Linked DNA regions of Rattus norvegicus. The protein of the gene in region 1 purifies or fractionates together with the protein of each later gene. This does not show direct contact. Links are inferred from orthologs where the notes say so. Each region holds a gene or a part of one and is shown on either strand. Other genes may lie near its edges.

What was found. Proteins that work in one complex are often made in the same cells at the same time.
Region 2: the proteins of Cct4 (region 1) and Tle2 purify together in Homo sapiens (affinity purification with mass spectrometry; 3 studies listed by BioGRID and IntAct, with this or other methods). This does not show direct contact. The link is inferred for Rattus norvegicus from reciprocal best matches to the Homo sapiens genes CCT4 and TLE2.

What each region holds. Positions count from the first base shown.
Region 1 is NC_086032.1:101,195,932-101,199,584, reverse strand, and holds part of Cct4 (T-complex protein 1 subunit delta), read right to left. Parts: exon of another isoform or gene 2,837-3,653; coding exon 2,747-2,836; exon of another isoform or gene 2,305-2,746; coding exon 2,196-2,304; exon of another isoform or gene 1,888-2,195; intron 1,531-1,887; coding exon 1,388-1,530; intron 1-1,387. UniProt on the Homo sapiens protein: Component of the chaperonin-containing T-complex (TRiC), a molecular chaperone complex that assists the folding of actin, tubulin and other proteins upon ATP hydrolysis.
Region 2 is NC_086025.1:8,779,350-8,783,002, forward strand, and holds part of Tle2 (transducin-like enhancer protein 2), read right to left. Parts: intron 3,577-3,653; coding exon 3,514-3,576; intron 1,234-3,513; coding exon 1,159-1,233; intron 1,030-1,158; coding exon 846-1,029; intron 615-845; coding exon 595-614; intron 1-594.

The DNA of each region.
Region 1 (3,653 bases):
CCCAGCTCCGGAAAAAAAGAACCAAAAAGAAGAAAAAAAAAAAAAAAAAAAAAGATCGCTGGATTCAGAGTCCAGAGTACTAACCATTATTATACCATGGAACCTACATGTTTCTAATACCATTTAGGTTATTTAGAGACAGAGCCTCACCATGTAGCCCTGGCTTGCCTGGAACTTACTATGTATTACCAGAGGAAAGGAATGCAAGAAAAAAGATTTGTTACTGGATGAAATCATAATAGAACAGATGGTAACATAAAACTTTTTTCTTTTTCTTTCTTTCTTTCTTTTTTTTTGGAGCTGAGGACATAACCCAGGGCCTTGTGCTTACAAGCGCTCTACCACTGAGCTAAATCCCCAACCCCAACATAAAACTTTTTATAGTTTTGTTTACAAACTTCTAAAAAAATTCATCTGTACGGATATTCTGCCAGCCTGTATGTCTGTGCACCATGTTTGTGCCTGGCACCTAGGGAAGTCTGAAAAGGGCGGTGGGAGTCTTGGAACTGAAGTTACACGTTGTTCTGAGTAGCCACACAGATGCTGAGAATTGAACCCAGATCCTCTGGAGAAATAGCAAGTACTCTTAACTGTTAGGAAATCTCATCAGTCCCTAATTTTACATTTTTATTATTTCACCTGAATTTTCCCAAGAAATTTGTATCCCCACTACTTTAAATCTCGCAAATAAGAACAGCAGTACATGTGTCACGAGCTGATTAGTGGATGGGCAATCCATACTGAGCTCAAATACCAGTTTCATCTTCTTCGTGTGCCATGCGTGTGCCGTTGAGTTTCTATGTTTACTCCCCCCATTCTATGGGGATGGCTATATAAAATCCTGAGGACAGCAGATGTAGAAAACTTTCCACATTTTCACATATTAAATAAAAACCTATATTGACAGAAATTCTATGACAGCCTTGGATTTTGGCAGTGAAAAAGTTCCCAACTTAAAAGCCCAGTTTTTGCTTTACCAACAAGTGTTAAGATGCAGTAAATGAAAAAATACAAATGGATACTGCACCTATGAAAATCTCTTAATTCTTTTTGCTTTGTTTCCCCCCTCCCAGGACAGGGTTTCTCTGTACAGCCCTGGTTTTCCTTCAACTCATTTGTAGACCAGCTGGCCTCAAACTCAGAGATCTGTCTGCCTGCTGCGCCTGCTGATAGCTAGTGTCAAAGGTGTGTACGACCATGTCCAGCTAAAACTCCTTATTCTTGTTAGCCTTACTGATCATTTTACCTCAATCTTAAAACAAGTCCATTCCAGAAATGATTACTAGTCTTGTTGAGGCAGTGTTAGATACAGTTTAGCAAATCAATGCTCACAGCATCACAACACACCATCATCTGTAATTCAATTCTCCCTCAATGGTTGTCTCACCTTTGAGTTCAATGAAGTGGTTGCACTATTTAACAAGGTTTCTCTGTCGCTCAGTTGCACAGGCCGAGACATGTCGGTAAGGATTTCAAGACCCTTTTCCAAAGCTTTCTGGAATGACTCGGAAATGATGGTTGGATGTATACCTGCCATTTATGAACCAGGTTAATTACAAACTACTTATTTATCATTAAAGTGTTTTACTCATTAAAATGACAGAGTAATCTAATACTTTCTTTCCCTTTTTTCTGTTGTGGTGCTGAGGCTGATCCCAGGGCCTCCGGCAATAAAAGGCAGATACTAAGCAATACCAGAGGCTCCAAATGCTCACCACACAAACTAATTTACAATTCAGTTGTAGGCAGAGCGGCTTAAATGAGTGCTTATTACGGTTAAGAGCTAACTTTTCAATCTGAAACCGGTGAAGTACATTTTCATGCAGTATTAAAGCTAAAACCAATTTAATGCTTTCTAAAACACTGAATACATTTATTTACTTTAAGGCGGAACTGGAGAGTTGCTGTGATGAACACTACGTATGAAAGCAAGAGCTCGTCTCACCTAAGGCATCTCTCCACGCCTGAGATTAGTAACAGTGCCATCATTTATTTTTGAAAAGCAGAATTCTATTTATTTCTACAAAAAGAAGCCTTGCAAAAGTAAGAAGCAAATAGAAATCCTTGACAAAAGAGTAGTCACTTCAAATTAAATCCCATATTACTTAATAGCTTGGCTTTTTATGTTTGCCTTTAAAAAAATATTTCTGTCTTTCTTCAGTAATAAAAAGTATTTTATCTTATATTCTACCTACCTTTCTGCAGAAGCTTGGTACAGGAGTCTAAGAGAGAGCCAGCAATGATGACGACCGACGTGGTGCCATCCCCTGCTTCTATGTCTTGAGCTTTGGACAGTTCCACCAGCTATGTGAACAGAACATGCCAAGATGCTAAGAAATGAGAACCCAGTAACATCTAACTCAAAACACTTGTTTTCTAAGAACTGTCAACGTAGCTCAGTAGTGTATAGTTCTTGGTGAGCTTGCATGATGCCATGGATTCAGTCCATAGCAAAAACCAAAAAAGCAAAATGAAAAAGCCCCCAAGCTCTCTTATAGAACACCTCACACCCAGAGAACAGTATCTTAGAAATGTACGTTTTTAGCATAAAGATAAAGGATTCTCCAGTTTAAATAGTATCAAAGTTAACTCTATTGAGTATCATACAAGTACACTTGACAGCACATGCCCACGAATATAATCCCCAGCACTCAGGATGAAGCTGGCTGGCTGCCAAGTCCAAGGGTACACAGTGCGTACCAGGTCACTGGGCTACTGACCGAGATCGTGTCTCCTGTACACTTACCATTCTGGCTGCTGGGTGTAATACTTGCATTTGTTTCAGAATGGTGGCACCATCATTGGTAATGGTCACATCGCCTTTTCCGTCTTGAATCTGGAACGTTGGTTTTTTAAAACTTTAATGCAGTATTCTACCAGCTCTATTCCATTTACTATTACATACAACTTAGTTTATTATGTATGCTGCTTAACTTAATATTCATTCATTAGTAAACCAGTAAAAACATTCAGAACAACTCAACTTTGTAAAGTAAGTGACTGGCTCTGCCTGGGTAGCTTGATCACATTTAAGTGTGTGTATATACATAACTGAGCACAGTGCTCAGAGACCAGGAGTATCAGACCCTCTATCTAGTGATGGAAACGCAGCCTGGGCCCCTGTAGAAGCAGTATGCGTCCATCTCTCTGGCCCCTGCTCACTCAGGGTATGTAAAGTAGTCTGGAGGTAAAGCTCATTCAGGAAAGTGCCTACTGCTCAAGCATGAGGACCTCGGCTCAGATCCCCCAAATTCCTTGGCTAGCCATATTGGTCTGTCTCCGGCTTGGTTGCTAACTAGCTCTCAATCTTAGGACGCACCAATCCAAATTAGACTCTATCTGCTTTACACTGCCAGTTAGTTAAGAAAAAAAGTTTAAATAGTTGAACTGGGCGCAGCGGCTCACACTTGTACTCCTAGCATTCCAGAAGCTGAGGCACAGCGGTAAGCTCAGGTTTCAAAATAAATGAACAGTCAAACGTGCTAGCACAGCCTGTGACCCCAGCACTTCAAGCAGAAGCAAGAGGACCAAGGGACAGTCTCAATCCAAAAAGCATTAAAATATACAGTTAAATACTATACTACCTAAGTAATCTCTCCTCTTGATGAATTGACTTTGGAGGGATCTGAGGAAGAAGAGGTGGTATTATAAGG
Region 2 (3,653 bases), on another chromosome or scaffold:
CCTGACCACACCCACAGCCCCTCACTGGGGATTCTAGGTAGGGCTCTACCTCAGCTTCACTGCTATTTAGCTTACAGAGGCAGATAGAGTAATGAATAGTCCTATTGTACAGATGGGAAAACTGAGTCCTATGAAAATGCATCACAGAGAGACCTGTAATCCACGGAAAATCCATGGCCAACCCCTTGAGAGTGGGGGATGGGAGCTCTCAGCTAAGCAAAACGTCTGTCTGCATGAGGAGCCAAGCAGGTCTTGCTGGCGTACACCCATTATAGCAGAATTTAAGACACTGAGGCAGAAGAATTGTCCTAAATTCAATGCAGTATGGGCTATAAAACAAGGCCATGCCTCAAATTAAATACACCACAGCTGGCTTGGCGGTTCTAATGTCACAATCCAAGAAGCAGGAGGATCTCTGTGAGTGAGGCCCTGTTCATAAAGTAACAGCTCACATCTCGTTCACCAGGCCCTGTACACTGGATGTGGTGGCACTGGTGTCCTCACAGCGCCCAGGTGGTGAAGGCTGGGGACAGGCAGCACCCCCAGTCCCCTAGCCTACTTAAAGACAAGCAAGTTCTCATGGCTGGCACTCACCCTGCTGGCAGCTCTGTCCACTGCAGACGCAGGAAGCCAGAAGGAAACATGATTAGGGGTTTGTAACCATGCAAGGCTTCGGCGAGTGAAACAGCTCCTTCCTGGTCAGAGCCTGACCTCCCACATCCCAGGGAGATGCCTCTGCAGAGACAGCTAGTGTGTTCCCAAGGACAAACAGCATGAAAATCGAACCCCACAGCTGCAGCCCTACTAGCTGTCCCCCTCCCGCCAGCGCTGAGTTGCTAACTCACCTCTGGACCCCTCGGTGTCCACACCCACACGGTCTTCCTTAACAGCAGCCACCAGCTGGGCCTGCGCAGCCAGCGCCCCAGAGAGGGCCAGCAGCCCAGTGGCCCCGGCACCCACCAGGCCAGCTGGGCGTGGGGTGAGAGGCACAGGGGGTGCATGGGACAGCGGCTGGAGCTGATTCTGCTGCTGAAGGGGGAGAGGATTGCCAGGGGGAGGCGGGTGGCGGGGACAGGGTACACGGAGGGTGAATGCTGTACCCACTGGGTGCCTGGGCTGGGAGCAGGGTGTCTCCAATTATGGGCTGGGGTGACTCACCCCCAAGAGGTTGTTCAGTTCCCCCACGGTCACCTGCTTGGCTCGGTCCACAGCCTGGAGCACCTGCTGCTGATGCTAGTGGGGAAGCGGAAGGCAGGCACTGAGCAGCAGGCCGTGCAGTCTGTCTGTTTGTCTGTCTGTCTATGTGTGCCTCTGCGTGTGGAGACACGGCGGGTGCTACTGCCATCTCCCACCTTATTTTGCGGTGGGTCTCCCGGCCCAGCTGTAATCTGTCCAGTAACCCCAGGATCTCCTGTCCCTGTCTCCCCTGCTGCAGTTACAGAGGAGAAACACCACACCTGGTTGGTTCTTCTGGTTGCTGGAGATTTGAACTCAGGTCCTCATGCTTGTGGGCCACCTTCCCCAGCCCCTCTCTGACTGTTTAACTGACAGTTCAGAGACCTGGCCTCTTCCCCAGGCCCTGGGGCCACAGTTCCAGTGCTTTGTGGAGCTTACTGGACCCTGAAGGCTGCTGGGCAGTGTTCCAGCCTCTAACCACTTGCTAGGAGGTCCATGTAACACCACGGTCTGTCCGCATAGACAGTGTAATGAATAACCACTCACATACAAAATAAAATACCTGCATTCCAAGCACCTACATGCCAAGTGCTCACATACCAAGCACCTACATGCCAAGTGCTCACATACCAAGCACCTACATGCCAAGTGCTCACATACCAAGCACCTACATGCCAAGTGCCCACATACCGAGCACCTACATGCCAAGTACCCACATACTAAGTACCTACATGCCAAGTACCCACATACTAAGCACCCACCTCAGAATGTGCAACCTGGGGCTGGGCATACAGGTCAGGGGAAGACCCACCCAGCGTGTATATCCCCAGCACAACATTAAATATGGATGGAGTCAATAAATTTGAACACACATGTCTGGTGGCTCTACTCAGGTTGGTAGCTGGCCTCACTGTGATATGATCTGTCACCCACTCTCAGGGGAAAGGCAGCAGGTCCCACAGAAGAAAGCTGAGGATTCTGGCCATGTGGGGCACCCAGCATGCCCACCCTGAGGTGGGACCTGCCGTGTCTCTGGAGGAACATCACATAGAAGTGGGAATGGCTAACACCAAGGTCCTGTGGTCAGCAGGAGTGAGGAATTGCTCACACAAAGTTTTCTGATGTTTAGCCTCTGCCTGTGCTGATTCTGTGTTTTCAAAATCACTGTCCTAAAAATGCCTAACAAAACTTGCTAATCAGAGCCATTTCAAGCACACGACCGGCTCAGGCTCAGTGACATGAAACTCATTCACAGGGCTGTGTGGCCTTCCCCACCACCCACCTCTGGAACTTCCCAACCCCCCACTTCCTGGCCCTGGATCTGATAATTTCAGAGTCCTTGGGAAAGGAAACCTGCATATTGTCCCGTGTGTGGCCCAACTCACCAAGCATCACCCTGTAAGATTAGTCCCATAATTGCTCACCTAACTCTCAGGATACCCTAACCAGGACATAAGCACAGAGAGGCATGTATCTTGCCCAAGAGCACAAAGCCAGGCCTTGTACCAGCAGCCCTGGCTGCAGGAGGCTACAAGATGTAAGCCATGGGTACAGGGGCACCCCTAGCTAGCACCATCGAGAGCAGAGAGCCAGGCTTAGAGAAATGGCTGAATCAGTAAAGTACTTGTCATGCAAGCATAGGGACCTGAGTTTGATTCTCCAGAAACCCTGAAGAAAGCCAGGCATGGTAGTGTGTGTCTATAATTCTAGCACCTGTGAGGAGACAGGAAGATCCTGGGACTCACTGACTGGACAGCATTGCCAACTTGGCAAAGTTCCAGGCCAGTCAGAGTCCCTGCCTAGTTAAAGGACGGGATAGCAAGGTGTGTGAGCATGTGAAAGCATTGTGGCCTAGCCAACAACAAGCCACAGAGTGAGAGGAGAGGGCCAGTTCCTGCAAGTTGACCTCTGACCTCCATATGTGTGCTATGGCCCTTGTACCTCCTCCCAAAAAATAAATTATAGGTTGGCTCAGTGGCTAAGAGCTCTGGTTGCTCTCTCAAAGGAACAGGGTTCGATTCCTGGCTCACAAGCCGTCACAACTCCAATTCCAGAGGACACAGTGCACTCTTCCGGCCTCTGCGGGTACTGCACACATGGTGTACAGCTACGCAGACAAAACACCCATACATATAAAATTAAATAAGTGCATAAAAGTGTAATAAAAGCAAATGAAGGTGGATGGCACCTCGGGAGGCACACTGAGGCTGACTTCTGGCCTAGTTATGAGTGCACACATGAACATAGGAAGGGCAGAAAGTCCCCTGGTCCTCACCCCAGCCGGTGTCTCCCCAGGCCTGGGACGCCCTCCCTGCCCCCAAGGCTCTATGCACTTACCTCCTGAGTGAGGAATGGGACCATCTGGGCACAGATTGCACTGAGGCGCTTCACGATCTCAGCCTGAGAGAGAAGTAACAAGCTGCAGCAAGCTGGATGGGCTGGGAGGGGGACAGCCACCTCCATCATCCAGACCCCAG